Arabidopsis thaliana: one gene and its partners. The protein of the gene in region 2 binds, or shares a complex with, the protein of the main gene of each other region. Each region holds a gene or a part of one and is shown on either strand. Other genes may lie near its edges.

Region 1 (5,317 bases), on a different chromosome or scaffold from region 2:
TTGGGCTTTTTCCACTAGGCCCATTTTCAATTCTATGTATAAAAAGGTTTATTTATTTTTCAACTTGCCCTAATTTGTGACCATCTTCCTTGAGCTTGTTGTTCCGATGAAGACGGTCACCGGAAGAGTTAACAGTGCAAAGCCAATCTCTCTATCAAAGGCGGCTACTCTTCTCTCCGGATTCGTTTCTTCTGAGAATGGAGCCTCTCAAGATGTTAGCGCGTACCTTCGACGAGCTTCCGGTGCCTTTATTGAATTGAAGAGCATCCATAGGGAGATTAAATCAAAGGAGACGAAGCTAAGCTCTAAGAAGAAGAGGAAGAGTCATCGAGAGATGGGTTCGGAAGAGAGGAAGAAGAGTAAGAAAAAGAGAAAATCCAGCGAGATCGTTGTTTGAAGTTGATCAAAAAATTGTAGTGGAATTAAGAAAAGCTTTCAAATTTTGTGGGAATGTTGTTGTAGTTGAAAGATGTTCACTTGGTGAGAAAGATTTGATTTTTAGAATTCTCTTGTTTATAGTTTCTGTTATCTGCATTGAAATTATTGTTAAGGTTCAAAACTTTGGATTTTGTGGAGAAACTACATTGGTCACAAATCTGAGATGACCAAGAAAAAACAACTCTTCTGCGCCAATTTGCGACTCTGGCCTATACGTAATTGTTTCAATGACATTCTTCATATTGTTAAACAAAGGCATCAGGCGGCGCTTGTTCCGGAATCTGCACAACAAAAGCAACAAATTAATCTAAGAGCAATAAATTTTTTGGAAACAACTTAAATGATTAGTTTTGAGCAATTTACCTCCCCTGGATTCCATTTCTCCTTTAGCCAGATACTACTATCAACAGGATCACCACCTATTTGCAGCTCGGTTCTGCCGCAAATGATTCAAGTTAGAAACGTATGAAACATCATAGTATGTTTTGATTAACTCTGTCAACATGTTCAACAACGGTTTTTAACTATAGAAAAAACCTGGAAACAGATTGAGGACTTACCCGGAAGATGTATTTGTCGTGTTTATAGCAGGAGCAGTAAAAGATGCAACAGGGACATTGAAGTTGAATGCGGTCTGATTGTTCTGGGAAGTGTTTGTAGCCGGTGTTGGAGTTGATTGACCAAAGATGTTATTGTTTTGTGGAGTTGTGGCAAATCCGGGTCCAGGTCCAAATGATGCTGGTTTGAATGTTGTTGATGGATTGGTTTGGAAACCAGAGGGACCTGTGATCATTTGCAAAAGAGGTTTCAGATGATGGCGAGTCTCTTGGCCTTTAAGCAAAGTTTAACATTAGAAGTAGTACCTGAAGGAACAGGTTGAGGAGTGTTGACGCTGAAAGCATTTGGTTGTTTATTAAAGCTTGCAAAGGCATTCGGAGGTCCAGATGAACTATGTAGAGGAATCATTGGCCAGAGAGAAATATGGAAACAGAGTTTTCATGAAGGCACCCCTTTACGGAATTTGGAAAATGGAGAAAGCCCACAAAAGTTGATACCTGAGACCACCAGCGTTGGTATTGGAGAATGCAGTTTGTTGATTATTTGATTGTTGAGTAAAGCTTGCAAAGGGGTTCGGAGGTCCAGATGAACTATGCAGAGGAATAGTTGGCCAAAGAGAAATATGGGAACCAAGAGGTTATAAAGGTAACACAAACTTGTTTGAATATGGAATATGGAGAAAGTTAGTACCTGACTCCACCAGCATTGGTATTGGGGAATGTAGTTTGTTGATTGAAGCTTGCAAAGGCATTCGGAGGTCCAGATGAACTATGTCGAGGAAAAATGGAAACCGAGAGTTAGTTTGAAGGCAACACAAACTTTTTGGGATATGAAAATTGGAGAAATCCCACAAAAGTTGATACCTGAGTCCACCCGCATTGGTATTGGAGAATGCAGTTTGTTGATTAAAGCCAGAGAATGCTGGAGAAGGGGAATTGATCTGACTGGACTGAGGGAAGATACTAGGAGTGGTTGCAGCAAACGGGCTTTGATTGGCGGTAACAGAGCCTTTGTATGGATTCCGTAGAAAGTTTTCAAACTCGGCTATTTTGGAATTTTGCAGATTCCTCTCCCTTTCAACCTATATAATGCACCATAATAAGCCAGGAAAAGAGGAAATCAACTTATGTCTTATCAGTATGAAATGAAAACCAGTGTAAAGTATAACAAACACAAGAAAGGTTAATCTCACAATCGACTGTAGAGGTATTCCTCGTTTAGCTTCTTCATATGCCACTGCACGTAGTTCTTCATAGCTGATATCACCGGTAACATCACATGGAAAACTAGAAGAAAAAAAAGATAGAAAAAATCAGACACGTTTATAAAGAATGGATAAAGATCAAGGATGCTAAACCAAATGAAGTAATACATACTATTTCCAGTGGCCGTAGCATGTGAGCTTCCACATGGGTCTCTCATTCTTAAAATCGTCTTGCATTACCCGCTTACACGCAGCAGGATCTGTGCATCTTTGTATAGTAACCAAGAGAGAAACAGTAAATTTCCAAAGAAACAAACGGCTAAAAGGATGATAATTGATAGAACAAGCATATGTAAACATATATACACTCACTTATGATCTGCCGGCTGCGTCTGTTTACCAGTCTGCTGTGTAGAAGCAGCAGCACCACCACCAGTAGGTGTAGAAGCCGTTCGTGACCAAGTATTCTGATTTGCAAAAGCATCATCATGTCACCATTCATTCAACAGGCAAAATGCTTTCGTTTCTTAAAGAAGATGCACCATTTTTCTCATCCAAAGCCGAACGATAACTTGCATTCTATCAAAGCAATACTTGCATCTTAAAAGAGGAAAAAAACAAATTGACCTGGAACTGATTCGGTCTGCTGGAACCACCACTTTGTACACCAAATCCAAAAGGGTTCGAACTATTTTGTTGCTGCTGCTGCTGTTGTTGTTGTTGGTTTTGTGTACCAAAGCCAAAGGGATTATTTGGCTTAGCTTGTTGTGGATGAAGAAATCTACAGTTTTCCCCATACCTACAACTGCAAAAACAGCACAAAGGACGATGAGTCCAATAATTACGTCTCTAAGCTTCTACTATCACTAATCATAACTTCCGAAGCAAATCAACCCTCATTAATGGCGGAAACGAAGATTAGAATCTATCAAAGTCAATAAACTGTATGATTCATTTAGATTTCAGCTCAATAGACATCGTTTTCTAACACATTACCACCTTCGCACATCGATTGATTTCAAATTAAACCCCAGAATATAGAACACGAAACCTAAACTTCAGCAATCGAAACAAACTTCAAAAACTCTTATAAAACAACAAATTGAATCAAAACAAAAACTAGAACAGATGAAGAAGAAGATGATGATGATGAAAAGAGTATTTACCTGCCACGCTGAAAGTTTCTACACAGTTCCTTCCTCATACTCGCAGCTAAAACCTTCGAACTGTGTACGTATGTGCGTATATATATATGTAGTTTTGCTTCTCTCGAGAAAAATGAAGAAGCGTTAGATTGACGAAGAGTGTATCAACAGAACAAAAGGAAGTCTCTATGTAAATTACCATATTACCCTTACATATCTTCAAAGTATTTAGGGTTATAAACGTAACTCCAATACACTTCATCATCCTCATTCTCTTATCCATCAATCGTTACTTCGTTTCTTCTCTATCACCAGGAAAAAAGAAGAAGATAGCTCCTGAAGACAAAAATGGCGGTTTCTCTCCCGAACTCGTTTCTTCAGATTAGCCCATGTGTTCCTTCTCTGCAATTAAGAAAGGTAAGCTCGAAATCGATTTCTCATTCTTCGTCTATTTCTCCTCCTTCCCCAAAATCACTAAATTTGTTTGTGTTTTTTTTTCAAAATTAGCCGGTGATGGCGGCAGTGAAAGGAGGAAAACAATCGGTGAGAAGAAGCAGCAATACGGTGGTTCAGATAACGTGTCGTAAGAAGGAATTGCATCCTGAATTCCACGAAGACGCAAAGGTTTACTGCAATGGAGAGCTGGTGATGACTACAGGAGGAACAAAGAAAGAGTATGTGGTTGATGTATGGTCAGGTAACCATCCGTTTTACCTCGGGAATCGTTCGGCTTTGATGGTTGATGCTGATCAAGTTGAGAAGTTTCGTAAGAGGTTCGCTGGGCTTTCTGAGATTATGGAGATTCCTGTGCTTAAAGGAGAAATCATTATGCCTACTAAGAAAAGTAAAGGTCCCAAAGGGAAGAAGAAATGATGAGTCTTTTCTGGTAAAGCTTATGTCTTTGAATTTGTTGTCTTTTCAATTGAAGTCGAGATACTGCTTAGGCTGTTAAAAATTGTATGTGAATTTTCTTCTGAATGCTATTGGTTATGCTTTCTTTAAGATCTATTTGGTTTCATTGAGAGTGAGACTAGGATCTCAGAGCAATGATACAAGTAGTAGCGAATCTCAAGGACAAATCTTTAGCTTGTGAGTTTGGCATGAATTTGTGATGGATAATAGATAGATATACACTGGTGAGAGAAACATAGCAACAATGCCTATGAAATGGTAATTGCAAATGAAAGAAAGGTTGTGGCTTTTGCCACATTTTGTGATAATCTTGGAAAGTTATGGCATGAGATTAATGACTAGTGTAGGTAGTTGTTGTTGATGTGTAAGTGGTGTGTTGATTAGTTGATTGAGATCATTTTTACATAGATTTATAAGATGTTGAACATGATGATCATGGTCTATGTAAGTGTCTGCTGAAGTTATCAGGCAAAACATTTGTCTTCTGACGACGAAGTGGCGTACTAATAGTGAGCAGATTCTTGAACTGTGGCCATGGCGTAGGAGTATGTTTTGCTTGAGAACATAAAAGAAAATTTTTGGCACTTGAAGTTGAAGATTCTGTGATCATGCCCAATTGTATACTACTACTGAATTTGTGTGACCAATATTGAACAGAAACAGAATACTCCAGCTCAATCAGAGGTTTTACCAATATCAAGCCAAACCAATATCAGGCCGTCTCAAGCCCATTTGAAGACAGTCGAATGTGTGGGCTATTTTAGGCCCATTTCCTCTCAGCTGGAGTCTTCTGCTTCTTAACTAAGCTACCAAAGTTTTCACTGAAGTTCAAAAGGAAAACCTGTGGGCTTTTTAATCCGTTAGTAAATTGGGTTTTGACATCTCTACATACTTCATATGCTGATCGATGCAGTTGAATCTGAATAATTGAGTTAAACTAAATTCATTCGTTGGTTGAAGTCTTAGATCCTTTCTTATCAATGATTTGCGATCTTGACTAAAATTGAGTCTTAAAATATTATCTTAAAGACTTTAGACACACAAAAAGAAGGTGTTTTAA
Region 2 (5,605 bases):
GAAGAAGAAATTGCGTTTCTTCTTCACAAAAAAAAACAACAAGGAAGAAGAAACGCAATTTCATGGAAGCAATGATAGAAACATAATGTCTCAGTTCACATGTAATTTCATTTCACCATAAGGAGATCAATCTTCTCACGAAGCTATATCTCGTGAGTCGTGGCAAGAAACATATAAAGTCTCATGGGCCAAGTCTTCCAAATCTAATTGTATACTCTTCCATATGTTTATTCCTGTAATCTAATTTTAATCCCTTGTGTCTTGATATTCCTATGTAGTGTTATCATTTTCAGAACTTAAATTAACCATCAACAAAACAAAAAGGAACTAAAAAAACTTAAATAGGACCTGAAACTATCAGTGTTTGTCGAATCCTAATGTATGGCTCCACCACAATTTCTGATTTTTAGACTAAGAACATTCCGTTGTACCGGTTTTCTTCATGGAAGCAAATGCAATGATCAAAATTTCAATTCTCATGTAATTTCACAGCAAAGAGATCAAAATTCCCATGAAACTTTATCTTCGTTAGCAAATTCATATCAAGCCTCATGAGCCAAGTTGCAGTTCCAACAATATTGTAACGACAACTATCTCAAAATCGTAGGACAATTTGTGATCACCATTCCATCTTAAATATTATTTGCAACATTGCAAATCAACTGTACGATGAAGCACATCACTTGTGGTGAACTTCATGAACATTGTTCATAACATGGCGGCAAACACTAATACGAACCACTACTGTACAAAATCCTGATCAATAGTGGGAAAGAGGTAATGTAGCCATTATTCAAGAACCCACCCCAAACCAACCTTAAGAGAAATGGTTTTCACTCAAAATACTTGTCAATTGTTTATATGGAAACCGGATTCTAACATATGTTCCGTTTGCGACAAGATTGTCTGGCCTTGAATGAGTTTTTTTTTTTATACTGGATTGGCTACTGATTATGCCGGATATGTATGACTATGAATGTAATTGATGCTGAGTTATATGATAGATTATGTTAAAAACAGTAACTTCGAATATTCATTCATAAGAGACCCATAAGGAGTTCAAGTGATCTATATAGTCTCTCTATTCTCTCTGCCAAATTTGAACTTCAAACAACATAGACAAATAGAACACAAGGATACTAGACGACGAGTTGTTTCAAAGTTTTTAACCTTCAAGCATCTTCAGCACTCGGTGAGTTCTCAGGTGTCTTCAAAGGAGCTGCTGCTTCTGCAACGGAAGGTTTACTGTCTTTATGTTCTTCGATAACTGCTCGGAACTCTTCCACCACTGTTGGGTCCTTGAACTTCAGTGCCAATGTAGAGAGACCATCCTTGGCGTCACTTACACTATTCACACAAGCAAATGTGATTCCTTTCTTGTCCATTTTAGCCAGTTTCATTTCCGGGTAAAGACTTGCGTTTAAGGTCAACCTGTAGTTTCCTTTTGATCTCATTACTAACCTGGCTTTTCTGTTTTCAGTCGTTGATATATTCACCTTGAGTTCTCCTTTCCCACGCTCTTTCCATCCTCCCTCAAGATATTCGAACATTACTGAGTCAGCTGTGAAGGCTGCTTTTTCGTTCTCTTCTCCTGTTTCCACTGAAACATCTTGCTTTGATGGGAAGGCAGTAGTAGTTTCCGTGCTCTTCGTGGTAATGGAAGTAGCAACGGATGCACCAAACAGGGAAGAGTTTCCATTGTTTGCTTGGCCAAAACTGAAGGATGACTGTTCAGAACCAGACCCAGTCGAACCTTCTTGTGGAACCAAACCGAACGAGAACGAAGAAGCAGAGAACCCTGTGCTAGCAAGTCCTGTGAATGCGTTTTTGCTACTTGAGTGCTGGTGGAAGGAGCTCAAGGCTCCACTATCTCCATTTTTCTCTGTGTCTTCATTTCCATCGCCCTCTTTTCCTTCTTTCTCAGTCTGATTACCACCTGTATCCTTGACAACACAGTCACTTCCCTCAACAGTGTTGCTATTGTTGTTGTCATCTTTTACAGTCTCTTCCCCAGCAGCAACTTCAGTAACCATCGTTGTCTTAATCTCGTCTTCATTCTTGTTTACAGCTCCACCACCCTCTACGGAATTAACTGCCTCACTCATCTCTTTCTCTCCACCATCAATAATATCCTTGGTCTTAGCAGATATTTCATCACCCTGTGTCTCTTGTTTTCCTACAGCATCAATTGCGTCACTCTTTTCTTTACTGTCACCATCAGTTTCCTTGGTAGCATCAGACCTTCCATCAGCCAGTGTCTCTTGTTTTCCCGCAGACAGAGGTTTAGTCGTTTCTGCAGCAGCAGTAGAAGGAGCAGGAGCAGTAAAAGGAACCAAACGAATTCCAGTAAATGGATTAGAAGCTGGTGGTGCAGTAGCAGATCGATCTGTGCGCCTAACTCTGATAATTCTTCTGCTTGCCAACACCTCCTTACTAGCAGTGTTGAAGGTACCACTCTCGAGTGCAGAAGTGTCTTCATCATCATCATCAAGACCAGGATTGTCACGAGACAGCTCTTTCAGAGCAGTTCTCTTTCTGGAAAATGGTATAGCATTATCGGAGTCCCCCATTGTAATCTCTTAACAGTTACAGGCAAGCTAGAGTCCCTACAACACCATGCAACAAAAAAAAGATACATCAAGATTGTGTTAACAACCAAATAACCAGAATCAATCTCGCGGATAAGGAAGTCCCGAGCTTATATGTTGAAAGCATAGTTCTAACCTGTAACCATCCAAACAGGAATAGGACGCCCAATTTGTACGCACATAAGTTACCAACCATAGACAATGTGTGATTCTTTAAATCAAGGAAACCTAAGTTAACATGCTACTGCAATTGAAATTGATAATGAACACGAGACAAAAATCTAGAGGCAACAAGAGCGTATATATGAGCACATGTTAACAATTCACCACGCGATCGCAAATCATATGATAGTACAGAAGAAATTTGAAATCAAAAACCCCAAACTAATTCAGCAAACACAAAACAGGAATCTGAAGAAACAGCTAATTCCAGAAACGCACACAAGGATAATCTAGCAAGGAGGTTCAAAAGGAGCCGTAGAAAAAAAATCCAACAACAGAACTATGACAAAACCCTAAGAACCAGAGCAGCGAGCAGTGAGATGAGTATATAGAAGAAAAGGGAATTAGAAAAATCCAGATTCGGCCAACGAGACCAGCGAGAAAATGAAGATTCGGAGAACTTACGGACAAGCAAGGAGCAGCAGAAAAACCCTGCCGGAGCAAGAAGAGAGATCGCCGAGGGGAGTGATAAAAGAGAAAACGAATCTTGTCAGCACATTGGAAAAATGGTAATAAATCGAGTTTATATTTTTGTATTATTTGTTATATTTATATCCAAATCGATATTGTTGCTGATAGTCATCGCATGTAATAAGATGTTTACGTTTTGTATATAACATGTTGTATTGTCGTAGCTCATTTGTTGTAAAATACTTCTTGCAGATTTGTATAGCTAATGTTATAACTTTATAGGACAATCCTTAACTAAGTTATTCAAAAAGAGTGGAAATTAAAGTGATAAAGGCTTCCAAAGAATTATATATGCACCAGAAATTTGTAATTTTGAGCTGAAATCTAAAGCAGAAAATTTGTATAACTCTCTACTGTGTTATAATATACTCTTTCAGATGAAAACCACAATCATTAGTTGAAAAAACCACAACACCAAATTCCTTAATCCACCAATCCCATCTTCGTCTTTATACTCTCCATCCACCAAGAATCGATTCCTGCTACAAAATGGATCCAAAAATATATGATTGAAGTTAATTCATGGTCCAGTTTCATAGAGGTTTGAACTCATGAATAAGGATGATAGATCTTTACCTTGGAGTATCGGTGCCGGCTACTGGATCTAGCTAGGGATGTGGCGTAAGCACTGCAAAACAAAACAAAAACGATAAGTTCACTTTTGGCAAAGATGGAGGGGTTTTGAGAGACAAGTCTCCAAGTATTAGCCACATTGATGCAGAGATTATAATAAAGTTAACTCGTATAACTAAACCCATATTTATGCCAACTCAAAGATTGTGTTACTAAGGGTAATGAGACATATAATCATATAGAAATGTTAGAAGCGGCAAAATGTTTTTCTTTTTTGGGGGAGAGGTTTCAATTTAATCACCAGAGACAAAATTTCGACTATTCAACATTGATCCTGGACTGACTTGCTTATTAGGCTGATGGGTTTCCTTTGTTATTCGTACCCCACTCTTCCTCACCCTCACTTCCATTAACAAGTACAGCACCGTCCGTAGAGTCTGCATCCACAACTCCCTCTTCTTCATTCACTTCTTCTTCCTGTTGTTCCTCTTCATCTCCTTCATTCTCTACATGACCGTTTTCTTCTGCTACCTGCACAAAGTTCAAAAAACAATTCAGTAACTACTCCTGTGGAAAATAAAGCTCTTTGCTTCTTAGCAAACGAATCACTTCCAAAAGAAGTTACCTCGTGATCGATGTTTCCATTTTCAAGTGATTCCTCTGCTTCAACTTGCAGGTTTCTAAAGGCTTCCACAAGGGTAATGGAAGGTTTATCGGCATGGGATGGATAATTTTCTGCAGCGGTATAAACTCCCCTGTAGATAAATAAGAGTCAATTTTTTGGGTTGGCCTAAATAATAACACGCTTGAGTATGAACATCTCAATGCATAATCATGGGAAAAATGAGTGGCTCAAGTATGAAGTTCTTTTCCTAAGGCATCCATCACATCCGTACAATCATATCTAGGTACATATATAATTATTGAACTACAGTTCGAAAGCCATAACGACCATGGAAGAAAAATGCGAATAGCAGAAAATAAGTGCTCGGATACCTTGTCTCTGCAGTGTTCGCTTCAACAGAAAGAGCAACTTGCCAATCCTCAAAAAGATTTGAGTACTCTTCAGGATCAGCTAAAGATTCAGCTGCTTTTGGATTAACCTGATGACAAGTCAAAGGCAATTTAAAGCCACATGATGAATTTTCTCATTGACACAGTAAACAAAAAAAAGATGCGAAAATAACCTTGCTGAGATCTTCCCTCCATAGAGCTACTATCTCCGAAACTTTGCTTGGAAGATAAGAACGTGCCATCAGAGCAGCTTCTGGTATCCGGTTACTGTCAAGATAATTTCTTGTCATAAAGATAACAAAAGACACATATTTGATTTTTCCAAACGGCCAAGTGAACAGTAATGAAATACCTCTCCACCAATAACTGCAGACAATCTTCCAATCTACCCAGCGTAAATAAGCAAAGAAAGGCAACATTGTTCTTCCCCTGTTCCTTAGCAAGGCATGCAAGTTTTGACACCCCTTCAGCATCTCCCAAAGAAGAATATAGTAGTAACAAACCACTCAAATCCATAGCGTACTTCATGCAATCCTCGGCCAATTGCAGCTATCATGATAGAACACACACAAATGCAAGAGAATCACTTAGTAAGTAGTAGATATCAGCAATGAATCCGCAAAAGCTAGAAGAAAGCTCATTGGCATTGTAAGATCTAAATATACCAATTTGCTCCTATAGATACAATGTAAAGTAGTAAACTGACTGATATATAGCATTTGCAAAGAAAGTTATTT
Region 3 (6,384 bases), on a different chromosome or scaffold from region 2:
TGAGCTGTTACCATTTGGTTCTGGCCGGAGAATCTGTCCCGGGATGACGCTGGGAATCACCACCGTGGAATTGGGACTGTTGAATTTGCTTTACTTCTTCGATTGGGTAGTGCCTGTAGGGAAGAATGTGAAGGACATCAACTTGGAAGAAACAGGATCAATCATTATTAGCAAGAAGACAACCCTTGAGCTTGTTCCACTTGTTCATCATTGAAATGACGATCATGAAACAATTAGTCCATAAGATTATGTATTTGTATCCAGCTTCTTTATCTTGATATGGTTGTAATCATAATCTGAATAGTGATATCAACACAAGTTTTTGTTTTTTAAACAACTAAACACAAGTGTTTTTAAACAATTAAATTATGAGAATTAAATTATTTAATTAGAACTAGTTAGGATAAAAGACAAATTAATTAATTAGATCCGCAAAACGCATTACTATATTTGGGTTGGCCGCCCACGTTACCGTGAATAGAAAAGGTATTTAACAGAGACCAATTATCATATGCTTAAATTAAATAACAGGTAGGATTAGTTAACATTATCAAACAAAGAAATGGTTAAAAATGAAACAAGAATTGAAATAAAAGCAAAAGAATGCTTCTTGTGAGACAACTATAGTGTTACAACATTGATGAAAATTGAGATGGGTTTTTCTATCCGACGAAATGTTACAACATCAAATCAATAGTAGTTTCTGTAATCATTCCTCTGGTAATTCTGATTGTAGTTCGGCTGATTTAATTCAGCAGTAAGTTCAGAGGACAAGGTACTAGTCGTCTTCATAGCTCTTCCTTCAGGTTCCTTGAGATACATCCGGTCATCTAAGTACGCTGTGATTTCGGCTATGATCACAAGTAGATCCGACGTGTCCTTCTTCGCCCGCAATTTCTGCAAGAAATGCTCTCTCACAACATTCACAACCTTCAGAAACTGAGATTTGTACCTCTGATGAAGACCAAACCCAGCCGTCTACACATAAACATATACCACCGTTATGGTTTTAAAGACGATTTTATATTTAGAATCGGTAACCACAATCAATGCAAACCTGGAGAAAGGAGTTCAAGGCTGTCGCAGTGGCTCTGTTGGCTGGGATTTTGTTAAGGAACCGGGCTAACCAAGCCCATCCATGTTCTATCCCATGAACGTTAGTAGCATTGCCAACGCGGATATCGGTCTGTAATTACCATTAGAAAAAGACTCGCATTAGCGGATTATGGAAATAACAATGCATAAGAGATAGTTGCATAAAAGAGGCAAAAACCTGAACAAGTGCACCGTAGAGCCTCATTATAGAATCTAGGCGTTCATATGCGTCTGAATCCCAAGCTGACTGAATTCATTAGGAGATAATTAATAAGAAAGACACTATTTTTTCACAATTCTGTCAAAATAGATTTCTTAAGAAGTTTATTTACCTGTGAGTTTACAATATGCTTTGGGACAGTGTAAATGCAAGCTTTGTGGAATTCCGCGAGAAGAATATCCATAACTTGGGGAAACTGTAGGCATAAATGGTAGATTATATTCAATAACAGTAACAAGAACAAAAATGCACTGTACAAATCAAAAGTAATTTTGTACCTGTGAGTTGATGTAAACAATGACATAGCTGCATGCAAAAGGGTTTGGTTTTTCCTTAGTGGTGACCATCTGAAAGAATCAGCAAAACGTTAATGTCATCGGTTCACAGTTTCCTAATCATAGAGTCCAGAAGATAATCCAATAAATGAACGTATCAAAGAGTTCTTCACCAATTAGATCCGAGCACAACAGTTTGAGTCATTTTCAACATTCAACAATAGATGAACAAGTAAATCTTAAACAGACCAGATATAAAAGTTACCTTCTTTGCAAAAGCTGCAATACTTATGGATACCGGACAACGAGGGTCTTTAAATATTTTCACAATATCATTGATTTTCCCACTGCAAAGGCCCAAAGTAAACGTAGTTAAGAATAAAGAAAATTAACCAAAGTCCATGAAGAACGCTTAAGTAAGGTTACACCAAAACCATCTTAAATGTATCTAAATCTTTCTAACCAAAGGCTTAAGACTGACATTTCCACAAGTTAAACAAGATCAAGGCTATCGGAATAAAATGCTAAAAGAAGCTAGGCATATACCACTAGAGGACAGGAAAGGCAAAGCTGCAATGAAATGTAACAAATAATCTTAAAACCCTGTCTGGGGAAAAACTGATAAATTAAAGGCAGAAACCATGAACCATACCTTACACTATCCTTTGTCCCACTTATTTGCCTTATCACTCTTCCAATATGCTTCTCAAAACTGCTAAAGTTCTACAAGTAGTAAATAAGCAACATGACTTGTGAGCAAATGTTGATTAGACAGACAGATAAAACGGTAAAAAGATGTAGATACTTCATTTGAACGTGACTTAAGCGATTGGTTCGTTGTTTCTAGTTCTTCGAGCTTTTTCAATCTGTGGTTCTCCAATATCAAAGCACTTTCTGCAGCTCGGATTGAATTACCTTGCACAATTAATAAAAAAATAAACACAGTAAGAAATGAGATCACAATCTTCAATATGACAAAGAAAGAACAATCACAGCAACATAGATGAAAATAGATACTAAATAAAAGATAGCTCACCCCCAGCTTGAGCATTTGATGTAGCTGAACTCCCCGTAACACTCTCTATCACAGCCTTCTGTTCCGCAAGTTTTTGTTCGGCAGCTTTGCGATCTGCTACTTCTTTTTCAGCTACTTCTCTGGCTGCCTTTCTCTCAACTTCTTTCTTTTCTTCTTCAGCTCTGATTTTTGCTAGCATTTGAGCCTCTGCGCGAGCTTTTTCTTGACGTATTTTCTCTTCTTGATGAGCCCTTTCCTTCCTCCTGGCCTCCTCCTGAGCTTCCTCGCTCCTTATCTTTCTTTCTTCTATTTGCGATTTAATTTTATGTTCGCGTTGGACTGCAGTCAGATGGGTATCAAGTGCTTCAGCACTGAAAACAGCAAAAGAAAAACTCATTAAGAATTTGGAGACAATGGAAGAAGAAAAATCACAGTAAATGAACTGAACTGGTAAGAAAATGTATTCCTGAAACTAGAATGCTAGGAAGAATAGCTTACACTTTTCGCTGATATTGAAGATCAAGTTTCCGTTCAACTTCTTTCCGAGTCTCACTGTACTTTTCAACCCGGGCTATGGCAGAGAGAGACGTTTCAATCTCATTCATTATTTCTGTTTCAACAACTGATACTTGATTCCTAATGTCGTCCTGTAATTAAGAGAACCAAATGCTCAATTAATCAAGTACACCAAGCGAAATAAAACATTCCACAATATGTACCTCTTTATTAACAAAACAAAACAAATCTGCCCACCTTGATTTCGGTTTGGTGGTCGTTGATAACCTCATATAGGGCACTCTCAGCCAGACCCAACTTATTCATCATATACTCAGGTTCATGATCAAACTCTTCATCAGATTCATCACTGTATGAACAAAAAATAACCAATAAAAACATCAAACAACCCTCAATACGCCTTTCTTAATTTTGAAACAAACTAGCAAGGAAGAGTTGGTGATGATCACCTCAAGTAAAGCTCATCACAGGCAAAACGTTTTCCCGCTGTACAGATTTGACTATGATCTTCTTCTTCTTCCTCATCATCACTCTCTTCACCTTCGTCACTCTCCATCTCATCTTCTGAGACATGCATTACAAATCCTCCACCTCTCCTTCCCATCCTTTTAACATACCAATGAACACCAATACCAAACAAATTAACACAAATATTTCTGAGGCCATTGTTATTGGTCCTAATTCAATACAGAACTCCAGAATGAAGTAAACATAGATATATATATACCGTAAGGTTGTGTTAGTAATTGGCTGAGGATACATTGAGAAGCCATTGAGCTTCTTTTCAACAGAAGCAATCTCAGCGACCAAACTCTCGAAATTCCAATTAGGCTCAGGATCAATGCTAATCCCATCAACACTTTTAGGACAAGGAGGTTCCAAAACAATCCCCCTGCAAAAGAAAATTAAAACAGAATTGAAACAGAAAATCTCAGTAAAATCCCAAAAAGAACAAACTTTGTTTCCAAAGATGAGAAATTGAAGGAACCCGTAAAAGAAGAGAACTTACATTACACAATTGGGTGATTCCCTGATAACAAAACAGAAGAAGCAATAACACAATTAGTGAATCCTTGATAAACCCTATAAACCCCCTTGAAGCTTCAAGACACAAAACAATTTGGTTCACTCATAGGATCCTTGAATCATATTCTTTGCTCCACAAGAGATAGTCTCTGGCTTCTTCTGAGCAATAAAGACGAACTCATGCCTTGTTTTACAAATTCCCATAAAGCCCCTTACCTTTAAATTTAATCGTACTCTCTGAATCGAAGATTCTTGTGCTGCACAAATCTCGATGATTCTCTAACTCAACTAGAATACAAGCTTTAATATCCCCAACGGGACGAAGAAGCGTAATATCAACGCTATAGGAGCCGATTTCACTTAACCCCCAAAAAAATGGAAACTTTAGGATCGGAGAATCGGAAATCACGAACCAAACCAGACAAGAGATCGGCTTCGTTTTCTAAAAGTTCAAAAGAGCCCTATGCTCGAAAACGATGTCGTTTAGAATTAAGTTACAAACGGTTATAGAGAACCAGTCCAGTCGGTTTAAAATCAGATCGATCGTCGATTAGATTCTCCAAATTATATATGTGTGGAAAATATGCTTAGACCTAGACCGTTTCACAGAGTCCACAAGATTGGGCCTAAAAAGGCCTTGTAACATTTTCTTTCTTATGAAAATCGTTTTTTTTTCCAGAACAAAGTTTAAAAAACAAAATACTGTAAAAAAAAAAAAAAATTGTCGGTAAAAGAAACTAAAATATAGTAGCATGGTTTACGAAAATAGCTTTTTCATGAAGTAGAGTTTTGTGATGACAAAACCTAATCCATATATAATGAAACGTACCAAAAAAAAAAACTTAGATATATATTCAGTCAAGTTATGTTTGTTAAATGTTATACTTCTAGACTTCTAGTATAATAACTAGCTTTAAGAAGTCTACGTATATTTGTGATATTTAAAAATGAGATTTTTTCTTTCTTTCTTGAAGGTAAGCAAAAATCTCTCTCTTATTTACGAAGCAACAAAATCTTGTGTTTAGAACAAACACAAAAGGAGTATTTACTTGGACGTAGGTTAAACTTCAACGGTCGTGGAGTCCAACGCTTTTAAGTCTCCCTTAACTTGTGATTTGTGAAAAAGTGTAGTGAAATTTATAATTACGAGACAGTAATTGTATCTTGCAAATAAAATTACATTCAGGGAATTAATTACCAATATCAGATTTCTTAATTGTTAATTCATCATTAATTTTGTTGAAAGCCAATTAGTGGGGAAGGGTTTTTTACAAAGTAGCTAGTGAAGTACAATGCTAAAATAGCTGTATTACATACAGCTGAGATGAATAAATGGCATTGAAATCATTTATATAAATAGGTTAAATAAGTAAATAGATTCAGATAGTTGGTAACGCATTTGGTTTTGGGTACGTACACACATTAAACGCATATATCAACTACATGGTTGACAAAATAACACATACTGTTGAAAAGTAAAATTATGTGACTTAAGCATTCTAGATCTTAATTAAATAGTCTTCTTGAATCAAATCAAAATAATACCACTCAATACCAAAAAAAGTGATTATTTTTTTTCAGAAAATTTGTTGATTATCAAAAATATTTAGTATGTCTTAATTAATTAAGAACTTCATATAAGCAACAAGTACTGATCAGTTGACAAAAATATGTGGTGGTGAAAATACTGCTCAAGTTGATGCAAGGGTAAAAATTAAAGGCTTTTGTTATCATTCGTTGATTAACACGGACAAGAGGCTAACTAATATCAAAGTAAATGTTAAAAGCATACCTAATAATTTACGATATATGTATGAATAGTAAAGGAAGAACAATTTTACGACAGAGACATTTACTCCTCAACCCTCTCTCTATAAATAAGACTGTTGTCAAATCGATTCTCCAACACACAAAAGAACAAACTTCATACAAGAAATGACATCAAAAGAGCCAAAACACATGTTTTTCATTTTCCCATTCTTCTGTTTCTTCTTCTCCTTCATTGCACAAAACACCGTCCCAAACATGTCTTATCCTCTCTCCACAAGCTCCCGTTGGATCGTCGACGAGAACGGTCTACGGGTAAAGCTCGTGTGTGCGAACTGGCCATCACACCTCCAGCCCGTTGTAGCGGAAGGGCTGAGCAAACAACCAGTGGACGCAGTGGCCAAGAAGATAGTGGAAATGGGTTTCAATTGTGTTAGGTTAACTTGGCCGTTGGATTTGATGACTAATGA

The links. Proteins that work in one complex are often made in the same cells at the same time.
Region 1: AT3G15970 (region 2) and AT1G75340 share a complex: the UniProt entries of both Arabidopsis thaliana proteins name them as parts of the nuclear pore complex.
Region 3: AT3G15970 (region 2) and GLE1 share a complex: the UniProt entries of both Arabidopsis thaliana proteins name them as parts of the nuclear pore complex.

The regions. Positions count from the first base shown.
Region 1 is NC_003070.9:28,268,470-28,273,786, forward strand, and holds AT1G75340 (Zinc finger C-x8-C-x5-C-x3-H type family protein), read right to left. Parts: upstream 3,613-5,317; 5' UTR 3,405-3,612; coding exon 3,367-3,404; intron 3,257-3,366; coding exon of another isoform or gene 3,197-3,256; intron 3,006-3,196; coding exon 2,828-3,005; intron 2,668-2,827; coding exon 2,573-2,667; intron 2,469-2,572; coding exon 2,373-2,468; intron 2,283-2,372; coding exon 2,189-2,282; intron 2,078-2,188; coding exon 1,860-2,077; intron 1,765-1,859; coding exon 1,687-1,764; intron 1,587-1,686; coding exon 1,494-1,586; intron 1,388-1,493; coding exon 1,302-1,387; intron 1,222-1,301; coding exon 999-1,221; intron 875-998; coding exon 802-874; intron 720-801; coding exon 684-719; 3' UTR 501-683; downstream 1-500. Other genes in the region: AT1G75335 (nucleolar-like protein), read left to right, coding at 107-397; emb2184 (Ribosomal protein L31), read left to right, coding at 3,694-3,762, 3,853-4,218.
Region 2 is NC_003074.8:5,407,810-5,413,414, forward strand, and holds AT3G15970 (NUP50 (Nucleoporin 50 kDa) protein), read right to left. Parts: upstream 3,345-5,605; 5' UTR 3,216-3,344; exon of another isoform or gene 2,725-3,215; intron 2,607-2,724; 5' UTR 2,571-2,606; coding exon 1,173-2,570; 3' UTR 983-1,172; downstream 1-982. Other genes in the region: AT3G15980 (Coatomer, beta' subunit), read right to left, coding at 4,206-4,385, 4,480-4,609, 4,851-4,957, 5,042-5,135, 5,221-5,417. UniProt on the Arabidopsis thaliana protein: Probably involved in nucleocytoplasmic transport via its interactions with importins and Ran, rather than by forming part of the nuclear pore complex (NPC) scaffolding.
Region 3 is NC_003070.9:4,468,644-4,475,027, forward strand, and holds GLE1 (nucleoporin GLE1-like protein), read right to left. Parts: upstream 4,677-6,384; 5' UTR 4,133-4,676; coding exon 4,131-4,132; intron 4,014-4,130; coding exon 3,849-4,013; intron 3,727-3,848; coding exon 3,571-3,726; intron 3,471-3,570; coding exon 3,359-3,470; intron 3,253-3,358; coding exon 3,104-3,252; intron 2,977-3,103; coding exon 2,627-2,976; intron 2,506-2,626; coding exon 2,396-2,505; intron 2,314-2,395; coding exon 2,243-2,313; intron 1,938-2,242; coding exon 1,856-1,937; intron 1,663-1,855; coding exon 1,594-1,662; intron 1,512-1,593; coding exon 1,428-1,511; intron 1,343-1,427; coding exon 1,274-1,342; intron 1,187-1,273; coding exon 1,058-1,186; intron 979-1,057; coding exon 691-978; 3' UTR 501-690; downstream 1-500. Other genes in the region: CYP71B7 (cytochrome P450, family 71 subfamily B, polypeptide 7), read left to right, coding at 1-214; AT1G13130 (Cellulase (glycosyl hydrolase family 5) protein), read left to right, coding at 6,083-6,384. UniProt on the Arabidopsis thaliana protein: Required for seed viability.